3 linked regions of the Ovis aries genome follow. The protein of the gene in region 3 binds, or shares a complex with, the protein of the main gene of each other region. Links are inferred from orthologs where the notes say so. Each region holds a gene or a part of one and is shown on either strand. Other genes may lie near its edges.

What was found. Proteins that work in one complex are often made in the same cells at the same time.
Region 1: the proteins of CNNM3 (region 3) and PTP4A3 are in contact, whole or in part, in a crystal structure (PDB 5TSR), measured with the Homo sapiens proteins. The link is inferred for Ovis aries from reciprocal best matches to the Homo sapiens genes CNNM3 and PTP4A3. Residues at the interface, in NP_060093.3 of Homo sapiens: Ser357, Asn358, Phe394, Asp396, Lys418, Val419, Asn421, Glu424, Gly425, Asp426, Pro427, Phe428, Tyr429; in NP_001425170.1 of Homo sapiens: Asn5, Pro7, Asp72, Gly73, Ala74, Val105, Ala106, Leu108, Gly109, Arg110, Arg137, Arg138, Gly139, Ala140, Ile141, Asn142, Lys144, Gln145.
Region 2: the proteins of CNNM3 (region 3) and PTP4A2 are in contact, whole or in part, in a crystal structure (PDB 5K25), measured with the Homo sapiens proteins. The link is inferred for Ovis aries from reciprocal best matches to the Homo sapiens genes CNNM3 and PTP4A2. Residues at the interface, in NP_060093.3 of Homo sapiens: Leu390, His391, Phe392, Val393, Phe394, Asp396, Thr397, Glu405, Ala414, Gln417, Val419, Glu424, Gly425, Asp426, Pro427, Phe428, Tyr429; in NP_001356788.1 of Homo sapiens: Met1, Asn2, Arg3, Pro4, Asp69, Gly70, Cys101, Ala103, Leu105, Gly106, Arg107, Arg134, Arg135, Gly136, Ala137, Phe138, Asn139, Lys141, Gln142.

What each region holds. Positions count from the first base shown.
Region 1 is NC_056062.1:15,514,960-15,522,706, forward strand, and holds the start of PTP4A3 (protein tyrosine phosphatase type IVA 3), read right to left. Parts: upstream 4,529-7,747; 5' UTR 4,453-4,528; intron 1-4,452. UniProt on the Homo sapiens protein: Protein tyrosine phosphatase which stimulates progression from G1 into S phase during mitosis. Enhances cell proliferation, cell motility and invasive activity, and promotes cancer metastasis.
Region 2 is NC_056055.1:235,538,232-235,546,200, reverse strand, and holds the start of PTP4A2 (protein tyrosine phosphatase type IVA 2), read right to left. Parts: upstream 4,529-7,969; 5' UTR 4,137-4,528; intron 3,129-4,136; exon of another isoform or gene 1-3,128.
Region 3 is NC_056056.1:103,695,526-103,702,781, reverse strand, and holds part of CNNM3 (metal transporter CNNM3), read left to right. Parts: intron 1-4,775; coding exon 4,776-4,919; intron 4,920-5,881; coding exon 5,882-6,031; intron 6,032-6,284; coding exon 6,285-6,454; intron 6,455-6,646; coding exon 6,647-6,743; intron 6,744-7,053; coding exon 7,054-7,187; intron 7,188-7,256. UniProt on the Homo sapiens protein: Probable metal transporter.

The DNA.
Region 1 (7,747 bases), on a different chromosome or scaffold from region 3:
CCCCATCATGAGGAGCACCACCAAGTCTGTGCTGAACACTAACACGGAGCACGGTTGAGGTGATGCTCCATCCACCCCCGATGTGAGCTCCTGGGGTGGGCAGTACCGTCAAGGTAGGGCCCCAGGCCCTCTCTGCCCATGCCCTGCACAGGGTCAGGCCCAAGAGCACAACTTGACAGGCGAACGGAGGCCCCCCAGACGGCCCCTTCCGAGGTCGCAGCCTTGGAGACTTAAAGGGCTAGTCTGCCAGGCGGTCACATGGGGCAGACGCACGGTTGCAAGTGGGTCGTTTGGCTCAGGTGGCTCCAGCTAAACCGCCAAGGCCACCAGCTTTGTCTTGACCCCCATCCAGTCTGCGGTGGGGTCCAGGGTCTACTCCGAGCTCCCCATTCTCTAGACAAGAAAATTGAGGCCCAGGAAAGGCAGAGGCTGGCCCAGGGTCACCCAGAAGCCTGGCAGAGCTGGGGCCATGGCTCTGGGCTCCCTAGGGCCATGTGGAGGGGACAGCAAGGTCTTGGCGGGAAGTCCCAGGCACCCTCGGGCACCCCCTGAGCTCCTCGTGGCAATTCCCAGCAGATGCGCTGGTGGGCAGCCAGCCAGAGAGAAGTGAAGGCCAGGAGAAGGCCCAGCAGCTGACCCCGTAGGGAGATGAAAGCGGAGGGAATGTTTGGCTTGGCAGGGCCTGGGCTAGGCAAAGGAGGAGGAGGGCCACCCTAGCTTCAGCAGACGATACCCAGGGAGGCCAGCGGGCACAGCAGAAAGGCGCACGGCTGGGTGCAGGCGCAGGGCCGGCAGCAGGTAACCCGCTGCAGGGGGCCGCCGCGGAGCTCCGGGTGGGGTGGCGGGGAATCCTTCTGGCCCTCCCACGCCTCTTCCAGGAAGCCTGAGTCACAGGAGGGCCCCGGGGCCCGGAGAGCGGCCGGGAGCACCAGTCCCACGGGAAGGGGACAGGGCAGGGCCGCCCGCCTCCTCCAGCTGGGCCAGCCCCGGCTTCGGGGTCTGTGCGGCGAGTGAGGCCATGGGAACAGGCTCAGGCCGCTCCCAGGAGGGGCTAGGGGGATGGAAGAGCTGGTGACAGCGGGTCAGAGCCCCCCTTCCACAGGAGGGGAACTGAGACCCCAGAGGAGAAAAGTTGGCTTAGAGCCAGACAGTTAATGACTTGTTATCAACCAAGGAGGGCTCCAGGCAGGCAGGCCTGGGTGCCGGGGAGACCCACAACCTCGTGCATTGACCTCCTGGCTGAGCCCCGTTCCAGCACATCAGCGCCCCGCCTTGCACCAGAGACCACCCCACCACCCTGCTCTAGAACACTCCATAGCTCCCGCCGCCCCTTCCCTCAGAATCTGAGTCAGGAAATGGAACCAGGGCACAAGGCAGCCCCAACCTTCCACCTACCCGCGTCTGCCATGCTGCTTCCTGCCTGGGGGACGTGGGGGTGCACACACAGAGCACCAAGCTTCTGGGGGCGCCACCCCCCTTGACAACCTCAGATCTGATCTTGGCCCCTCATTTGCGGGTGCAGGATGGAAACCCAGGGCAATGACATCCACCCCTGGATTCATCCAGGACTCAGCCAAGGTCTGGGCAGGCACACAGTAAGTGCACAATAAAGGCGGTGGCCGGGAAGACCCAGGAGAGAGAGTGGGTTCGTGGCTCAGAGGCCTGAGAAGGGGAGACAGGGGGAGGAGCCACGTGGGGCTCAGGTCTGACCACTGGACGAGCTCCTCCTGATGTGCCTCCCGGAGGCTGCAATGGCCGAGAACAGCAGAACCCCCGGCCAGTCATCCTGGAGGAACACCACCTTCTAGAAACGAGTTCTCTGGTCTCTGCAAGGCTTGAGCCGCCTCCCTGCCCGCCGAGGCCTCTGGCACTGCGGCTTGGTGCTCACGTCCAGTGTACACACCACCTGCCTTGTGAGGGCTGGCAGGGGACTCACACTCCTAACAGAGGCCAGCGAGGGGCCAGACCCCAAGCCAGGCCAGACCAGGGCCACTAGGCCACAGGGGGGTCACTGTAACAAGTCCTGGGCCTGGCCGTGGCTTCCCCCCACCCCTGGCCTGGGCGGCCCTTCCAGATTCCCAACAGGAACTCTTTCCAGCCACCCAGGGGGACTCGCAGCACCAGGTCAGAAGTGGCGTTGGACAGAGGGGCTCCCCTTCCTGCACCACCACTGCCTGGGTCCCCTGTGACCTCGGGAAGTGAAGAGGCTCAGTGAACTTTGGCCTCTCACTGTAGGGCAGGCGGACGACGACTTCCCGTTGCTGGGGGACAGACCAGGACAGACGGAAGGGGCCTGGCACTCAGTGGGCACTGACACACCCCAGTAACCACCTTCTCCGAGGCTCGACTTCATTACCTGGAAGGGAGCCACCACCCCTGCCGCCCAGGCTCCCAGCGACAGGAGACGCTCTGGCCCTGGGGACGTGAACAGAGTCTTGTTCCAGAGAAATGGACCTGCCCTCACAGCCTCCAGCCTTCAGAGGGCCCCCGGGCCTGGAGTCCTGGCCAGGAAAACAACAGGATGGAGGGAAAACAGCAGGCCAAGCCCTGCGCCCTCCAGCCAGCCCAGCAGCACACCCCACCAGCCGCCCAAACACCCAGCCCTGAAGATCGTGTGCGTGAGAGCAGGGCCACATGTGTACCCTGGTCCTCAGTGCCTGCAGCGTGGCCCCTGGACATGTGCGTCGTGGGCATACACAGCCTCATCGGCCACTTGGTATCACTCTCCCAAGTGAGAGAAGCGTATGGTGAGGCGGGGGACCTGAGGCGGCCTTGGTGGTCCACCATGCCCAAGACAGGACAGCCACGCCAGCCCCTCCTAAGGCTGCCCTCTGCCCCTCACCAGCCCCCAGCCCAGCTCCACTTCTTCCTGGCACTGTTGCCACCTGCAGGCATGGGCACTGCCACCTGACTGCCAGCTCCACGGGGCCAGGGCCAGGTCTGCCCTGATAACAGCTTATCAAGGCCCAGCACACAGTAGGCGCTCAAGTGTTGGTGACTCTGTGAGACGGGAACGCCACCTTGTGGCTCCACCAAGGACCATCACTCAGACAACAGACCAGCGCACCATCAGCCACCCCTCAGTCCAGCACGGCGCCTGGCACAGACTGCGTGGCAAGCACTGCGGGGCTGTTGGTGGAGGCCAGCTCCCCGAGGGGATAGTGGGGGGCATTCTCTCTTCTTGAATACCTGCAGTGAGGGAGGCCTGGGTGGCTGTGGAGAGACCCCCAAGCCCACCTCCGGCCCCCTTTACTCTGCCCAGCAGCCTGTCAGGTAGGGCCACCAGCATCCACTTCACAAGGGGGAAAACAAAGGCCCTGGGGAGGGGCTGGACATGACTCTACCTCTCTGGGCCTTTATTTCCTCATCTGAGAAGCAGAGTTAATAACCTCATGGACAGATCTGAGGAGGTCACTGAGGCAAGGCGCCCACACAGAGCTGCAGAGGTGGGGTCCCCATCCAGGCAAGGCCACAGGCACCCTGTGTCCATTGACCGCCCTCTAGTCCACAGCCCTACACGGCTGCAGCCTGGGACCAAGGACCCACTGGAGTCTACACTCCACTGATGCTAACCTCCCAGGCACTACTCACCACCACCTGCTGGGCTGACCACAGAGCCCACCAGCCAGGAGGGGAGGCACAGTGCCTGCCCGCTGCCCAGGGCCAGAATGCCCAGCACACTGTGACCTCTGGCCTGGACCCCACTCACCCTCAGACCCGTGATCAGGGTCCGGCCTGTGGGGTCACCACACCCCACCTGGGTAAGGCCAGGCCCAGGGCGATAGCTGCTCTGCGGTCATGGAGCTGACATGCCACCCACCCCAACTCCACCGGCCACCAGCTAGCTGCCCTGGAGAACACAGGAGCGTGCCCCCGAGCCGCCTGGCCAAGGCTGGGACCTGCTCTAAGCTGGGGTACTGACTGGACAGATGAACCGCTGCCAGGCTACCAGCGCCCATGCGGTCTGAGAGCCGGGGCTCGCACGGGTCCCCAGCACCTGGAGCTCAACCTGGGCGCCAACCGCGGGGCCGGGAAGCCCCGTGGGGTTCGTGGCGGGCAGGGGCGCTAGAGACCAAGTGCCCCCAAACTGTGCGGAGGAGCAAACTGACAGGGGGTTGGGGGGCGGCACGCGATCCCCGGCGCTGCTTGGGGCACAGGGACTCTGGATGAGGGTCTTCCGCCCCCGGGATCGGGAGCAGGGACCAAGCCTCCCAGCCAGGCGTCCACCGCCCGCCACGGAGGGGAAGCAGCGGGCGGCGCCCCGAGCCGGCCCCCCACCCCACCCCGGGCTGAGAGCTGCACGTGGCAGACGCCGGGCCCTCACTCGCGCCGCCGAGGCCGCGGGGCGCTGGGGTCCCGGCCCCCCAGGAAGCGGCCCGCCCTCGGCCCGCGCGCCCCGCCGCGCGCCCGCACCGCGCGCGCCCCCGCCCGGGCGGGCGCGAGGAGACTGACCTGGCGGTCCGGGCGCCGGCTCCACGGGCGGAGGGCTCGGGGCGCGCGTGCGCGTGCACGAGCCTCCGGCGCGCGCAGGCGCGGCCCCGCTCCGGGCGCGCGAGGCCCTGCCCGCCGGGTCACGTGGGCGGCGCGGCCCAATGGGAGCGCTCCCCACCCGGGGGCACCCGCGGGCGCGCGGGCGCGGGCCCCAGAGCCCCGCCCGGGAGAGAAGGGGCGTGGCCGTGGGCTTTGAGCGCTGTCCGGTCTCCCTAGCAAGCCGGCTGCGGCAGGACGGCGGGGCGGTTAGGGGACCGGGGTAGACTCGACCCCGAGGTGAAGCCGAGGCCGAGAGATGGAGTCCGGCGTCCCAGGCTTTCAGGAAACTTCTGGAGTCCTGGACTTTCCCCTGTGTCATTTGGGGCTGAGCCCCACGCTCACAGGCCGGTTGCCGCGAAGACGGGGCACGGAAAAGCAGTCACCCCGCCCGAGGCTTGGGGTCAGACCGGGGCTTGAGGCCTCCAGACTGCCCCTAATGCATGCAGCGGGCTGGGACCCCCAGGAGATCTTAAGGTGCCCCCTGGGGGACTGGTGGGAGGTCCCCTTCTGGATCAGCCCTTCCTTCCTGGAGCTCACGGCTCCAGCAGTTGTGACTAACGGAGGAGACCCAGCACAGAGAAGGGAAGGAGAGGTGGGCGTGGAACCGGGCTGGAGGTCTCCTCTGGACCTCACACTCTCTCCACCGTGTCCCCCACACCAGTCCATGGACACGCAGCCCAGTCAAATGCCCAGCCTCTCCTCGCAGACCCTGGTGCTGCCTCCATTCCCCAAGAAGATGCCCTCCTACCACCCACCCACCCACCCACAACAACACCTGGACCCCAGGCCCCCAGAAAGGCAAGAGTGAGCGCCCATCTTTCTCTGCAGAGTCCTGCAGGGCGGCGCCCGGGCCACCTGACCCGGCACAGCCTCCCTCCTCTAGCCTCCCGCCCCGCCCCCATCACTGCCACAGCCTGACACCTGCGTGCAGCTCCTCCCACAGGGCAGGGTCCGCCCACCGCAGGGCCCTTGCACTTGCTGTTCTTTCTGCCTGGGAAGTCTTGGCCCCAGAGCATCCCTGGGGTGCTGTCTTTCGCATGTGGTCCCTCTCAGCTGTTGTCTCCTCTGAGAACTCAGTCTCTGCTGACGTCCCCTTCACTCAGCCCCACAGTGCCTCAAGCTCTGCCAGAAAGTCCCCCGGAGAAGCTGGTCTAGGCCTGCCATAAGAACCGCAGAGTTGGGGCTCCCTGTCCGTGGTGCCTTCAGGCAGGGAACAGCGGGAAGACCATGTTGTCAGGAGAGGCAACATCTGGCTGTATTCCAGCTGGGAAGTCCTGGGAGCCCTCCACTGCAGTGACAGCTGGCCACCCACTAAGGCAGCCCATTTCCCATAGCACTGTGGGACTTTAGGGTCCATTTCAACTATTGATTTTCCTTTTGATGTTTATCTTGACCTCACGAGAGCACCTGCATCCTGCAGGTTTCATACACTTCCCCCTCTCCTGTCCCAAGTCTCAGGGCGGGGGTTGTCCCCAGTGCCCTTTGTGTGGAGCCCTGGGTATGGTGTCCTTTGTGGGCTCCCAGGCTGGGGTCTCTCTCACTTCCATGTCCCTGGCATCAGTGTGGGACCCTGAGGAGGAGGATCCCAGAGTTCAACTCCCCAGATGTTCGCTGAACACCGGCCTCTTGCAAGGCACTTATGCCGTCTGTCCCGCCAAGCCCGCACCTCACCCTGCAGCAGAGGGACCGCCACCCTCATTCTGCAGGTGAGGAAGTTGAAGCTCAGTAAGGCAGAGCTGTGGGAATTCCCTGGAGGTCCAGTAGTCGGGGGCTTCCCTGGTAGCTCAGTCAGTAAAGAATCTGCCTGCAGTGCAGGAGACCCGGGTTCAAGCCCTGGGTGGGGAAGATCCCCTGGAGGAGGAAATGGCAACCCACTCCAGCATCCTTGCCTGGAGAATCTCACAGACAGAAGAGCCTGGTGGGCTACAGTCCATGGGGTCGCAAGAGTCAGACATGACAAAGCGACCAAACCACCACCACCCAGTGGCCAGGACTCGGCCCTTTCACTGTCAGAGCCAGGGTTCAATCCTGGCTTCGTGATATGGCCAAAAAAAAAAAAGGCAGAGCCGAGATTCAAGCTCAGCCCTGGGGAAGCCAGAGCTGGCACCACTACTGTGAGTTGAATGGGTGAGGCTAGAAGGGAGACAGAGCTGAACTTGATTCACAGGCAACTTCGCAGTAAGGAGGGTTGGCTCAGAACTGACCTCCTTTACATGGGAACAGGGCCACAGAGGTGGCAGGTGAGTGACGGAGAGGCAGAGTTGAAATCTCAGCCTGAACTCCTAATGCCCAAATCCTCCCTGGGATTGAGGGTCTCACACTACCTACCCTCAATCACTGGACCTGCCCTCCCCCCACCACCAGCACGGCTGCCAGCTGGGGCAGAGGACCTGAAGGGGAACTGGGTTAGGACGGGAGAGGGCCCTCCGGGGCTACAGGATTAGCAGATTAGCTCCAAGGAGGACAAAGATGAGGTCAGTGCTAAGTGGATTTCCAGAAAGCAGCCTCCAGCCCAGCAGGCCCAGCCCCAGAGGAGGCAGGGCCCTGAGGAGGGGCCAGCAGCCAGCTGTGGTCAGTGGGCAGGCCCCCCACCAGTAGACAGACCACAGGTCTTAACCTCTTCCTGCCTCTGTCCCCTCATTTGTGATGGGGTCAGAGGGACAGCTCCATCTCTGAAGATGAGGCTGGATGCCGGCTTGGCTGCTCCTGGCACTGACCAGGTGCTCAGTACATGTTCTTAGGACTCTCCTTCCAGAATCGTCTTCAGGCCCCAGCGTCAAACATGAGCAAAGAAAAAAAAGCGCTTCTTGGGGGTTTTGTTTGTTTATTTGGCTGTGTCGCACAGCGTGTGGGATCTTAGTTCCCTGACCAGGGATCGAACCCTGGTCCGATCTGCATGGTCCTGCATGGTCCATGATCTTCATGTCCCAGCAGTGGAAGTGCAGAGTCCCAACCGCTGGACAGCCAGGGAAGTCCCAAAGAGCTCCTGGTTGAACATTAGGCCAGGTAGATGCAAACGCTGGGTGCAAGGTATAAGACGAGAAGAGTAACTTGGGACTGGCCTCTGGTGGCCGCGTCACACCCACTTTAGACCCCAGAGGCAATGACATGTCCCGAGTCCGGTGGAACTCCCCCACCCCGGACGGTGCCCCACCCCCAGTGTGCACACCCAGGACAGCCCTCACCTGAGGTCCTCCCCAGCCTCCTTCCCCCAGAC
Region 2 (7,969 bases), on a different chromosome or scaffold from region 3:
AAAGGAGCCAGAGAATGTGCTTCAGTCAATAAAATGAAGGCTAACCAGAGAAAGCAACCAGACACCGCTACCTATACACTAGTTCTGAAACTGAAAATGGATAATATTCCAAAGTAACAGATTCAAATCACCATTTCCCAAGTAATTTTAGTTGGTGGCATCTGTTTATTTAACAAACCCAAGATACAAAATTACATGAATTGTAACATCAAGGACTCTTGCTTTATAAACTTAGAGAATAATCATTAGTTTCTACATAATCCAACTGGTATCTTGAGAAAAATCTCAAAGCAACAACATGCCCCAAAGAGCAAAAAAAGTAACTGAAGTATCCTTAAAAAAAAAAAAAAATACTAAATTTCAAGCGAAGAAAAAGGTAATTTCCTTAACTTCTACTAGTTCCTACACAACTCATGTAAATGACTGGAGTTAACTGAGGAGGGTGGGGGGAGAGTTAGAAAGAGACTTAAGTACTTTAAGCCCCAAGGGGAAAAATTTTTTTTCATCCACTGCCATCTATTTACTGATACTCTTTAACTAGGATTCAACAATTGATCTCTAAACCAATTTTCTCATCTACAAAATTGGAAGGATGCCATTACTTACTCCCAGGGCTATTATGAATTTAAAATGATATGATTTGTGATTCAGCACAAAGAAGATTCTTGAGACGATTATGTTGAAACCTAAAGCATGCTGGACTTCACAAGCATTCCAAGACCTCAAAATCTCAAGCCACCACCCTAATTCAATAAACATAACTAAGCCTGGTATGTTAGAACTACGGGTCCTGATTTCCAGTTGCTTTAAATTTTTAAAGATCACTAACTTCTCTAAGTAGCAGAGCTGTTGCGACAGCACTTGAAGAAATCAACCTAACTTGGGCTTCCCTCTGAAGTTTCACTCAAGAGCAACAGCTAAAAATGTATGTATTGCTCCTCTGCATCTTGTTTGTAAATGCTTTTTCCAGAGGCCTCACTGGTTACCAATCCCATATTCCGACAACAACAAAAGTACAGTCAAACCCTCGAAAATAAATCTCCATTAAATTTCAACTTTGTGTCTCAAAACTATAAAATGTTCTGTAACTACTTCATACAGAAATACTGTCTTTAAAGACAAAGTAAATAAAAATAAATGTTTTTCCTTGTTCATACAGGGTCTTTTCAAGTAAAACATAAATATGGAGCTTTCAGATTTTTTAAAAAGTATGTGCAAAAGCATTCAAACATTTACTCTTCCCTAGTGCCACCAAAGTTCAATGATGTTGTAAATGGTTTCTGTCTATAAATTTGGTTCGCTCAAATTAAATATTACTTGCCTGACTCATAGAGGGAGTGGTTTGACTTTTGCTATTCTGAGTCAGAATATACCCGGTTCAGCAGTTCTAAACAATTTTTCATTTGTAAGGTGGTCTAAAATGCTAGCAGCCTTTTCCAGCTACTAAATATAACAAACTGTTACCTCAGTAGTAAAGTCTTAGCGATAATAACACTTTGAATCTGTAGTCCAATTTATAAATAATGAAGTATTTTCATATATATTTTCTTCACAATCTCACAGTCTCCTGTAGTAAATATATCACAAAGCTAAAGAGAGATTTTTACAAAAGACAGCTTCTGTGACTCTTAGACCCAATTAATACACTCTTCTTCTTTCCCCCAAAATAAAAAACACAACAGTCTATTGGGTTTCTTTAATCAGACTTTTCTCTCCCAGACATATCCCAGGTGCCTCATAAAAACTCTGTCTCAAAGCACACACCCTAAGGCCCCAAGTGAGTTCCAAGGCAGAATCTCCACCCACATAAAAGCCTATCCTAACTTAGGCCCCAAAGAGCCTCAAGTCAGCATCTCCTTAAAGATCTACTCGCCTCCAGCCTTCAGTCTTTTGCATTAACCTCAACACCTCTTACCTGCACAAGCTGCTAGGTCACTGTGTGGATGAGAAACTTCAAAGAGAGACAACCTAGCGTGAGGGAAGTTAATGGTATAGTGGAAAAAATCAAAGACTATGGAGTCAGACTGACCTGGGTTTTTAATCTAGCTCCCATTCTTATTATAAGTTCTGACCTGGGACAAGTTAATTAACCTCTTTGAGTCTCCATACTGTCTCATTTCATCACTGAAGTCAATGAGGGCTCATCACTGTATCCCTAAAGTCTGGCAAATAGAAACCATATGTGTCAAATGAATGCAAATGAGAACACCTACCACCTTTTAATAGTAGCTGTGAGAACTGAACAAGAGTATAAAAAGCACCTGGTACACAGTAGGCACTTAATACTAATTAATCCAGTCACCCACCAAATGATAACAATACTACTCACTGTTTCTCAAAGTAGAGAGCATGCTAATGATCAAGAAAAGGACACAGTAAGAAATTTATAATTTCTGACTTCTAATTATATACAAATGCTTTTGCTTGTAGTTCTATCACATTGAATACCAAAAGGACCACACTACACTTCCAACTTCTAAGAGACTTTTCATCATTTCAGTATAAAATCCGTATCAAGGCACTCTTCATCAAGAACCCCTACTTCCTTCTACAACACAAGAATCTGGAAAAGTCCATGGCAATGATTAGTCCATTCACCATACAACATGAGACTACTTTTAAAATGAATACCAGCAAGCAACTTTTCACCATCTTCACCAACACAATGATTACGCTGGCAAGTGATGATGAAGCCTTAATTTCCTTTTGCATGTGGACTAAGGCATAACTTCACTGACTTCCTGTCTGAAAGACTCTGTAACACAGAGCAATGGAGCCAGTAACTACCACATTTAATCCAGCAGTAGCTACAACTTGGTGACTCCACACAGAAAAGCATTTGCTGAATGCATACAATGATGCTACAACTGCTATTTTACACATTTCTTGAAAAATTCTAGAAAATAATAAACTATGCTATGATTGAGCTTCATCATCAACATGCTACACAATTATTACTATTATTTCTTAAAAGCTTCTCTCCAGAAGGGTAGCAAGGAGGTAAAACCTAAAACACATTTCTTATATATTTACCTAACAATAAAACACCTCTCACCTGAAAAACTAGCAGTACTTTACAACAGTCTATCTGAACACTCAAAAGGCAAGAGTCTAGGATCCCAGGCAATACACAAACTTGTTTTAGCTAGCTTTCAGAACCCAGACTAGGGTGGGATGCCAACCAATCATGTGCTCGACAAATTTGGAAATTGATGTCCATGTTCTGAAATATTGGGGGGGGGGGAGGAGGAGGCACAGGGCCAGAAAATGATATTGCCACTGGCATAGACTTCTGTACCCTTTGCTCATACTTGAACCCAAGGACCCAAGCACAAGATGCTCCTGGAAAGAACTCCCTAACCCAGGACACCCAGGCTCGCTACGGCCCTAGAAAACGATCAAGGATGGCCCCCAAGGATGCCTGCTCACAGACTGGACAATCGCAGGCAGACACTTCCACGCTCCCTCATCCGCCTGCCCTTCACCTTCTCCCCGAGCTCTGTCTCACTCTGCTCTCACGTTCTCCCGCCCATCACTCTACCCCTAGCACGCAAACTCTCCCTCCCCCACTTACTCACGCTCCCCATTTACCCCACTCTCCCACGCACAAGCATTCTCCCCCCACTCACTCGTTCCCACATGCTCCCCGCTCCCTCTCCCCTACACTCACCTCCCACCCTCCTGACACTGTACCCCCTACCGCCCCCTACTCACACTTCCCCTCACTCTCCTCTGCAAGCGAGCGCGCGCGCGCACACACACACACACACACAGCCCCCCAACTCCCCCATCTGCACTTTCTCCCTCGCCACGCTCTCCCCACATGCACACAGCCCTGTTCCCCAACTCACACTCTCGCCTTCACACACGCACATTCCCCCCCCCGCCCCACACTCCACATTCTTGCACACAGCACTCGCTCCTCTCCCCTCCCACACGCGCGATCCCCCCCTCCTCACCCACCCTCGCTCTCCACGCTTCCCGGCCGCGCTCCCCCCGCCCCCGGCCCCAGCCCGGCCCTTCTTCCGGGGACGTGTCTCGGGCCTGCACTAATGGCTGCGGCGCCTCCCGCCCTCCCCTGCCCCGAGGCCCCCGGGAGGCGGCGCGGGGGGCCGCCCGGGAGCCGCGCAACTCACGCTGGCGAGCTGGGGACTGGGCATTGAAGTCTGGCGGCGGCGGGAGCGAGGAGGCGCCTCTCTCCTCAGTCACCTCGGCGGCGGCGGCGGCGGCGGTAGCGGTGGCGGCGACGACTCCCCCCCAGCCTCGGCGCGCGACACCCGGCCCGGCCCGGCGGCGGCGGCGGCGCGTGTCCACGAGTCCGTCTTGCTGCTGCTGCTGCTGCTACGGCCGCCGCTGCGTCTCCGGCTGCTGCCGCTGTCCCCGCTGCCGCCACTGCCCTGTGGCCTCGCCTCGCCCCGTGACCGGCCGCCGCTGCCGCTCCAGCCGCTACCGGACGGACGACGGTTACAGCCCCGGCCGATCGCGCCGCCGCCACCACCACCGCTGCGCGCGCAGCCGGAACCAGCTCCCGCCGCCGCCCCTCAGGGGGCGCTGCGGGGCGCGGCGCGCGCGCGCGCGCCCGCCGGCCCGCCCTCCGCGCCCGCTGACTGGCTGGCGGGCCGGCTCGAGGCGGTGGGGCCCGCCCACCTGCCCCGCGGGGCGCTGACCCACTGCCCTGGGCACCTCCCCCGCTCCTCCTCGTGGTTCGTTCCGATCAGCACTTCTGGCTGCGGAAGGCGCGTCCATGTGACAGGGAACGGGGGGGCGGTGGGCAGAACCTGACCGGGGGAGTCATTCGCCCACGCCGTGGCCCGCCCATCCGCACCTGGGCTGAGCAAGGGCCGGAGGCCGCAGGGTGACCCTCAAGGTCGAAGGGTGTTTTCCCGTGACCGGGCCGTGAGGCCTGAGGCCAGACCCTGATGGGACGAGGCGGAGACCGAGCCCTTTGCTCGGGGATTTCCAACCCAGAAGTGAGAACCGGGGCAGCTTAGTTCTTGGCTGCCCTTTCTTGAGGCCCCAAATAAATGGCGTGTGCGTCTGCAATTGCTCAGGATATTTCTGCGTGCTACTACCCTCACTCCCCGCCCGCGACACAGACACGCGCGCGCGCAAACCTAGGAATCCGAGTAGGAGATCAAAATTCAAACTTCCGGGAGATAGCATCTTGGGCAAGTTATTTCCTATCTTCGTATTTTCAACTATTAAATGAAAATGATTATCAGCTACCCCCTGGGGCTCTTTTCATTATGTATGAAAAATGCGTGATAAAGAGGAGACCCTGAATTTAAAGACAGGGATTATTCTAGAGCTCTCAGTATTCTCTCTTGCGTTTAGAAGGTGGGCAGAAATTCTTTGTCGGACCATGAATTAGGAGTTTTGGTTTGGAAGATGTGGTCACCAGTGACTTGGGAGATTGGTCTGGGTCATTGCCAGATGGCAGCAGGAAAGAAGCACTGGAGGCTTACCCTTGAGAGCTGGAGAAAAGGGGCAAGGGGCTCTGTCCTCCTCCTTCACCCTGGGAAGCCTCATCTCAGAATTGTCATTCGGATGCTAAGTAGTGGCCTACTCTTTGCAATCCCATGAAATGCAATACGCCAGGCTTCCCTGTCCTTCACCATCTCCCATGAGTTTGCTCAAACTCATGTCCATTGAGTCAGTGATGCCCTCCCAACTATCTCATCCTCTGTGGTCCCCGTCTCCTTTTGTCTTCAGTCTTTCCTAGCATCAGGGTCTTTTCCAATGAATCCCCTCTTCACATCAGGTGGCCAAAGTATTGGAGCTTCAGCTTCACCACCTGTCCTTCCAATGAATATTCAGGGTCGATTTCCTTTAGGATTGGCTGGTTTGATCACCTTGCAGTCAAACGGACTCTTAAGACTCTTTTCCAGCACCATAGTTTCAAAGCATTCTTTGGTGGTCAGCCTTCTTTATGGTCCAGTTCTCACATCTGTACTGGAAAAACAATAGCATTGACTATGTGGACCCTTGTTGGCAAAGAGATGTCTCTGCTTTTTAAAATGCTGTGCCAGTTTGTCATAGCTTTTCTTCTAAAGAGCAAGCATCTTTTAATTTCGTGGCTGCAGTCACTGTCCTCAGTGATTTTGGAGACCAAGAAAATGTCACTGTTTTTCACTTTTTTCCCCATCTATTTGCCATGAAGTGATGGGACTGGATGCCATGATCTTAGTTTTTGAAATGTTGAGTTTTAAGCCAGCTTTTTCACTGTCCTCTTTCACCCTCATCAAGAGGCTCTTTAGTTCCTCTTTGCTTTCTGCCATTAGAGTGGTATCATCTGCATATCTGAGGTTGTTGATATTTCTCCCATAACAAGCAAGTGTTAGTCACTCAATCATGTCCAACTCTTTGTGACCCCATGGTCTGTAGCCCATCAGGCTCCTCTATCCATAGGATTTCCCAGGCAAGAATACTGGAGTGGGTTGCTAGTTCCTTCTCCAGGGGAACTTCCGGACCCAGGGATTGAACCTGTGTCTCCCACATTGCAGGCAGACTCTTTACCACTGAGCAACCAGGGAAGCCCATGTTTCTCCTGGCAATCTTGATTCCAGCTTGTGAGTCAGTCAGACACCTATCTAGAAGGTACTCCTGCCCCTTGGGCTGCCTCTCCCCACCTCCTCACCCCAACACACATATTCACTTGGCCCTGTGAGGAGAAGCAATGGTCAGTACACCTTCCCCACAAAGTCGACCTGGGGCTTTGCTGTTGACAAGAAGGTGTTCATTACAGTTTAGCAGTAAAAGGAAAGGTTTTATGACTCAGCCACCTCACACCACAGCACAGGTCCCAGGATGTTCACCAACAGTAGGTGGCCCAGGAAAATGAAAGTGAAAGTGAAGTCACTCAGTCGTGTCTGACTCTTTGCTACCCAACCTCATGGACTGTAGCCCACCAGGCTCCTCTGTCCATGGGATTTTCCAGGCAAGAATACTGGAGTGGGTTGCCATTTCCTTCTCCAGGGGATCTTCCCGACCCAGGTCTCCTGCATTGTAGGCAGACGTTTTATCGTCTGAGCTACCAAGGAAGGAGATAGGTATTCCAGGCCAAAGCTGGCTGGTGGGCTGTGTGGGAGCTGAGAGGCCTTGAAGCAAGAGGGGCTGCAGATCAGAATCCAGGCCCTTTTAGTGAAGAACACAGGCTCAGCTCTCACATTCTACCTGGCTCCAGCAGACAGCATTTTCTACTTCCTCAAAGCACAGGTTTGAAACAGAGAACTACCTGCTCTGCAAAAATTTTGTTGAGTCTCCTGGTTATTGATTCTTCTGCTGAAGTCCCAAAACACCTGTGCAATCCCCTATCATAGCCTGTATCACTTGTATTATAAATGCCTATTTTCATGTTCTCCCATATTTAGACTGTTACTTGAGGCAGTGTAGCAGACTGTTGAGTAAACGAATGAATCTTCCCCCTGTCCAGCTCTCAGTCCAGCCCTAAAATGTCAGGTAATAATATAATAACAAAGATATTAATAGCCATCATAACAGGTACTATTTATTAAGCATCTACTCTATTCTAAGCCTGCAGAAGGTGTTTTAAAATATATTATCAAGTTTACTCTTCAAAATAACCCTGTGAGGAAGTGGTTGTCATCCTCATTTTCAAAGGAATTGGACGGAATTCCCTGGCAGTCCAGCGGTTAGGACTCCACACTTTCACTACCAAGGGCTTCAATCCCTGGTCAGGGAACAAAGATCCTGCAAGGTGCCTGGCGCAGCCAAATAATAAAAAGAGATTGGAGGCTCGGAGAGACAAAGTGACAGAAGCAGGATTCAGCCTGTGTCTGCTTCTGAAGCCTACATAAGCGTGAGGTTAGCCTCTGACTCCAGTCAATAACTGGTGTGTGTCAAATTAAGCTGGAATCCTTTCTAAGATGTTGGCAACACGCTCCTCTGGGAGCAAAAGGCCTGAGACCAGGGCACCACCAACTCCCCACACTCCCAGGACAGCAGGGAA
Region 3 (7,256 bases):
CTCCATGGTATCTTCTTCCAATCCTTAAACCTCATGAACTGATCTCTGCTAACTTCAAAATTTTCGTCTATAGCTTCCTCGCCTGTCCCAGCCTTGACAGAATTGACAGCAGGTTGGGTCTTGCTTTGGCTTAGGTTTTGGCTTAAGGGAACATTGTGGCTGGTTTGATCTTCTCTCCAGACCACTCAGACTTTCTCCGTATCAGCAATAAGACCATTTGGTTTCCCTGTCATTCATGTGTTCATTGAGTTGTTCAGTCGCTCAGTTGTGTCTGAGTCTTTGTGGCCCTGTGGACTGCAACACGCCAGGCTTTCCTGTTCTTCACCATCTCCCGGAGTTTGCTCAAACTCATGTCCATTGAGCCAGTAATGCCACCCAGCCATCTCATCCTTGTCGTCCCCTGCTCCTCTTGCCCTCTGAGTAGTGCATTTATTTATATGCTTGTTTGTGTTTATTTTGAGGGAGTAGCTCTTAATTTCCTTCAGGAACTGATTCTTTGCTCTCATGACTTGGCTGTTTGATGCATGAGGCCTAACCTCCGGCCTGTCTTATATGAGTCAGCTCTTCGCATCAGGTGGCCAAAGTATTGGAGTTTCAGCTTCAACATCAGTCCCTCCAGTGAACACCCAGGACTGATCTCCTTTAGGATGGACTGGTTGGATCTCCTTGTAGTCCAAGGGACTCTTAAGAGGCTTCTCCAACACCACAGTTCAAAAGCATCAATTCTTTGGCGCTCAGCTTCCTTCACAGTCCAACTCTCACATCCATACATGACTCCTGGAAAAACCATAGCCTTGGCTAGACAGACCTTTGTTGGCAAAGTAACGTCTCTGCTTTCTAATATGCTGTCTAGGTTGGTCATAACTTTCCTTCCAAGGAGTAAACGTCTTTTAATTTCATGGCTGCAGTCACCATCTGCAGCCCAGAAAAATAAAGTCAGCCACTGTTTCCTGTTTCCCCATCTATTTGCCATGAAGTGTTGGGACTGGATGCCATAATCTTAGTTTCCTGAATGTTGAGCTTTAAGCCAACTTTTTCACTCTCCTCTTTCACTCTTATTAAGATGCTCTTTAGTTCTTCACTTTCTGCCATAAGGGTGGTGTCATCTGCATATCTGAGATTATTGATATTTCTCCTGGCAATCTTGATTCCAGCTTGTGCTTCTTCCAGCCCAGCGTTTCTCATGATGTACTCTGCATATAAGTTAAATAAGCAGGGTGACAATATATAGCCTTGACGTACTCTTTTTCCTATTTGGAACCAGTCTGTTGTTCCATGTCTAGTTCTAATTGTTGCTTCCTGACCTGCATATAGGTTTCTCAAGAGGCTGGTCAGGTGGTCTGGTATTCTCATCTCTTGAGGAATTTTCCACAGTTTATTGTGATCCACACAGTCAAAGGCTTTGGCAAAGTCAATAAAGCAGAAATAGATGTTTTTTTTTGAACTCTCTTGCTTTTTGATGAAACTAAGCCATGCTGTGTAGGGCCACCCAAGACGGACGGTCATGGTGGAGAGGTCTGACAGAATGTGGTCCACTGGAGAAGGGAATGGCAAACAGTTTCCGTATTCTTACCTTGAAAACCCCATGAACAGTATGAAAAGGCAAAAGATAGGATACTGAAAGATGAACTCCCCAGGTCAGTAGGTGCCCAATATGCTACTGGAGATCAGTGGAGAAATAATTCCAGAAAGAATGAAGGGATGGAGCCAAAGCAAAAACAACACCCAGTTGTGGATGGGACTGGTGAGAGAAGCAAGGTTCAGCGCTGTAAAGAGCAATATTGCATAGGAACCTGGAATGTCAGGTCCATGAATCAAGGCAAATTGGAAGTGGTCAAACAAGAGATGGCAAGAGTGAATGTCAACATTCTAGGAATCAGCAAACTAAAATGGACTAGAAAGGGTGAATTTAACTCAGATGACCATTATATCTACTACTGTGGGCAAGAATGCCTTAGAAGAAATGGAGTAGCCATCATGGTCAACAAAAGAGTCTGAAGTGCAGTACTTGGATGCAGTCTCAGAAACAACAGAACGATCTCTGTTCGTTTCCAAGGCAAACCATTCAATATCATGGCAATCCAAGTCTGTGCCCCGACCAGCAATGCTGAAGAAGCTGAAGTTGAACAGTTCTGTGAAGATCTACGAGACCTTCTAGAACTAACACCCCAAAAAGACGTCCTTTTCATTACAGGGGACTGGAATGCAAAAGTAGGAAGTCAAGAAACACCTGGAGTAACAGGCAAATTTGGACTTGGTGTACAGAATGAAGCAGCGCAAAGGCTTACAGAGTTCTGCCAAGAGAACGTACTGGTCATAGCAAACACCCTCTTCCAACAACACAAGAGAAGACTCTACACGTGGACATCACCAGATGGTCAACACCGAAATCAGACTGATTATATCCTTTGCATCCAAAGATGGAAGAGCAGTTGGTGGTGCCACCCCCCCCCCAAAAAAAAAAGTTACAGTAGAACATCACAGATCACCATAACAGATATTATTATATCTTGTTATATTTTGTTATCACAGTGAAAAGGCTTGAAAATCATCAGAAATGACCCAGGTGTGACACAGACACTGGACAGATGCTGTTGGACAGATGGTGCCAGCAGACTTGCTCAGTGAAGGGATGCCACAAACCTTCCATCTGCAAGAAGCGCAGTGTCTGTGAAGCACACTGAAGCCATGTAGGCCTGTCCTGCATCTCGTCCGTGCTCAGATGCACGGTCTTTTTGCATTTTAACACCTCTCTAGTCTCATGATTGATGATGTCTTGGATTTGATGAAATACAGTAAATGTGATCTTTTTATTTTACAGCCTCATTCCTTTTTTTTAAAAAAGTTAGTTGAGTTCATTGTGTTGGTTTTGTATATGTATAGTGGGTTGAAGTTTTTTTTTTTTTTTTTACTTGATGTGCTTTTAAAAATTATTTATTCAGTTGTGGTTGCGCTTGGCCTTCGTTGTGGTGCTCGGGCTTCCCGCGGCGGTGGCTTCTCTGAGTGGAGCACGGGCTCGAGGCCTGCAGGCTCAGTAGTTGCGCACAGGCTTATTTGCCCTGCAGCATGTGGGGTACTCCTGGACCAGGGATTGAACCCTTGGGCCCTGCACTGGCAGGTGGATTTCTTCACCACTGTGCCATTAGGGAAGTCCCTTATTCCTTTCTTGACCATCTGGTTAGTGGCCTAGTAGTAAGAGCTTTTGCTTGACTCTGGACAGTTTCATTCCATCCAGCTTTGGAGCAGAGGTCTTCCTATATCTGATTACTGGGCGCAGGGGAATGGGCTGGGGAGGAGCGTGGAACATAGGTGCTGAAAGAATGAGGCAGAGCATGGTGCTTCCAAAGAATGTGCTTCTGAACCCAGTCCCCTGCACTGGCACTGAACCCAGGGCATGTAAAGTGGATTCACACACAGACGTGAACTTCGCTCTCTGTTTTGCCAGAAGATTCTGGAAGCAAGCACACCTTTCTGTGCAAGTCCAGGCCAGCTTCCACCCTGCGCTTTTTTCACTAGTGACAAAAGGCGTGGTTGAGATGAGTTTGCTCCCAGTTCTGTATCCCAGATCTGCACAGCCTGGGCCAGTAGTCACTACCCACGTGTGGCTGCTAAGTTCTTGAAAGGTCGCCAACAGTCCTAATTGAGGTTGGGGTGTGCAGTGAGCACCAAACGCGTAGCGGATTTCCAAGATCTAGTGTCCCCCAAAGGCAAAATATCTGTTCATATGTTTATGTTGATTGCATTTTGTAATATTTTGACTGTACTGAGTTCATCATAATATATTATTAATTTCATTTCTCTTTATTTTTTTTTTTAACACAGCTACTCAAAAACTTTGCCTTGCGTTCTATTTCTTTTGGACAGGCATAAAGGTTTATAGCTTCCCTGGTGTCTTAGTGGTAAAAAAAAAAATCCATCTGCCAGTGTAGCAGTTGTGGGTTCAGTCCCTGGGTCGGGAAGGTCCCCTGGAGAAGAAAATGGCACCCCACTCCAGTATTCTTGCCATGGACAGAGGACCCTGGCGGGCTACAGTCCATGGGGTCACAAAGACTTGGATACCACTTAGTGACTAAGTAACAACAATAACAAAGTTTTATAGAGGAAAGCACTTAGCTGAAGCAGAGTAAATTCTTGAGGGTTCCGCAACAGTCCCCAGTACTCTGAGGCTAGGCTTCTCTCAAGCTTATGTTTTCTCTTTAAACAAGCAGCTGGCTGGCCTGAGGAGGAAGGACAAGAATCACAGCCTCATGCTCTTCCTCCCACACAGTTTGGGCTCTGCCCAGGTTGCCACTGTCTTCATCCCCCTGCCTGACTTTCGTGAAAACAGAGGGCAGCATTCAGAACTGGGAACGCTTCCCTTGGAGACATCCAACGTGGCCCTGTTGGCTCCTGCGTCCAGATGGTCCCTGGGGAGCCGGCGTCTCTGGTGTCAGGGCCTTGTCCTCGGTCCAGCTGCCCTTTACCGTGTCTGTTCTGGTCCAGACACCTCCTTGTCTAAACCATGTTTGCGGCGTGGAGTCACGCAGACCTGGAGTGGCTCCAGCTCCGCCACTGCCTGGGGGGGCCTTGGGCAGGTGGACCTGGGGTCTGAGATTTATTCCTCACAGGCACATGGAGAGTCTTAGGTAGTGAGAAGCTAGGAATGATCTCTCCTGATGCACGGCGCATTGTGGGAACACAAATCAGCTTCCATCCTTGTGGTGGGCTTGTCAGTCGAGACGAGGGAAAACAAGAGGCCTCCAGCAAGCTGTAACGTGAGCGTTCTCTCCCTACAGGGAAGTCCCACCTGGCCATCGTGCAGAAGGTGAACAACGAGGGCGAAGGTGACCCCTTCTACGAGGTGCTGGGGCTGGTCACCCTGGAGGATGTCATCGAGGAGATCATCAGGTCCGAGATCCTGGACGAGTCTGAAGACTACCGTGAGTCCGGGCTCCTGTGTGCTTCCAGCTCATCTGGTCTCGAGTTTACGGAGACGTGTATATCAGAGGCTGGAGGTGCCCATGTTGTTCGAAGTGGGGCTGGATCTCGGGGCAGAGCTGTCACGTCCCCAGGCCCATGTCCTTACCCCTGCGGGGGCTGGAATTGCCTCTCACTGGAGATGGGGCTCACCTGTGGCTGGACCGTCCCTTTGGTGGCTTTGCAGTCCCGGCACTGGACTAGGCTCTGGCCTGAATGGGCGCTGCCCAGTCTTCCTCTTCCTTGGCCTCTTGTCCTGTGGTGCATTGTAGAAGTTCTGAAAGAACCCCCTGCTTTACTGCCGAGAGGTTCTTCCCCGACCAGATGATCCTGGGGCCTGTGGTTGTGTCTTAGGAGGGCCTGCCTCTCAGGTGGCTGCAGTCTGCAGGGCAAACACAGCCCATGCTTGGTGGGGACTCACAGGGGCCCCAGAAAGCTAGCTGCCCACCCCTATGAGTTTGCACGTGAATCTCTTTGCCCGGGTGCCTGTTCCCCAAATGCGACGTCGTTCGGCTCCTCAGACAGCCGTAGGCATGGGGTCTGCAGATGAGCGGCTGTTTGGCACGAGTGGTGCTCATACTCACGCTTCCTGGAGGGGCTGCTGTTCTATGTAAGCTTTTTGCTGTTAGTCTGCATCATATGTTCCCAGCTCCAAGGAGGGGAGCAGGCCTTTCTGCTACTTCTCAGGCCGTCCCTGGAATGCAGGCCACTGCCCCCCTGACGCGGGTACCGGATCATTGCCTGGTGGGGGTGGCAAGGCAGGTTCCGGCAAAGCAGCGGTGCCCAGGACAGGGCCTGGGGTCCTGACGCTGTTCCCCCAGGAGCCCCAAGGCCTTGGAGGCGGGAGCGGCAGCAAACCCCTCAGTCCGGTCGTGTTGGTGGAGGGCTCCTGGCGCCTCAGCAGGCCCTCTTCACCCCACCCCAGGAGACACCATAGTGAAGAAGAAGCCTGTGTCTCTGAACGCCCCTCTCAGGCAGAAAGAGGAGTTCTCCTTGTTCAAGGTGTCTGACGACGACTGTAAAGTGAAAATCTCGCCTCAGCTGCTCTTGGCCACCCAGCGCTTCCTGTCCCGAGGTGAGAGGTGGGGTGGGCCCCGTCCCGGCTCTCCGGCTCACCCCACCGCCCCTGCCGTTCCTGGCGCTCCTCTCTTCTGCCCCGTCAGTATCTCGGTTCACCGGAGGGTGGCTGTCCTCTGCCAGCAACAGAAAGCCGCGTCCGGTGGGTGTCGGGGAGGCTGGGGGAGCCGAGACGGGCAGTGGTGTGCTGACATGGGCTGTGCTGGGCCCAGAGGACGGTGTCCCCATCCCTTTTTCCCACTGTGGGGCAGAGGTGGACGTCTTCAGCCCGCTGCGGGTCTCTGAGAAGGTCCTTCTGCACTTGCTGAAGCATCCCAGTGTCAACCAGGAGGTACGGTTTGATGAGAGCGACCGCCTGGCTGCCCACCACTACCTGTACCAGCGCAGCCGGCCAGTGGACTACTTCATCCTCATCCTGCAGGTACTTGCCAGCCGGCCTGCAGCCCACCGCTTGCCCAGGGTGTGGGGAGGGTGTAGGGAGAGGAATGCCCGGGTGCATGCCCCCTGGATAGGGGGGTCTGTGCTCTCTCCTCCTGCTCTTTGCTGGCAGGAAAGGTGACCTGTCCACCCCTCTCCCTGTCCTCTTTTCCTCCCTCTCTCCCCGCACCTCCAGGGCAGGGTGGAGGTGGAGATCGGTAAGGAGGGCTTGAAGTTCGAGAATGGGGCCTTCACCTACTATGGGGTTTCTGCCCTGACAGCGCCATCCTCAGGTAAGCTGGGTACTCCTCTTGGCGCTGGAGGCGGGGTTGGGTGGGCACTGCAGGGTGGTCTGCCTGGGGACCTGCTGGCCCTTAGCGCCTCCTGGCTGTGTGGAGGGGAGGGCAGGGTTTCCTCAGGCCTTGCCTTTGCTGTTCTTACCCCTGCCAAACCTGTCCCGGGAGGCGCGCATCTGCCCTCCTGTCCAGAGTCCCGGGCTGCATTCCCTCGCTGGGGGGATCAGTAGGGTGGATCTCAGAGGCTGGGCGGGGGCCTGGCTGCTCCCCCGTTGACAGCTGGCATCACTAACTGTCCTTTCTGCAGTTCACCAGTCCCCCGTGTCCTCGCTCCAGTCCCTCCGCTATGACCCACCGCCCGAGCCCACTGACGGCACCCGCCTGTCTGCGTATTGTCCTGACTACACCGTGAGGGCCCTCTCGGACCTACAGTTCATCAAGGTGACCATCTGGGTTGCTCCTTAGTGCTGACTTTTAACCAGCTTTGTGTCCCCAAGGGCTAGAGCGGCT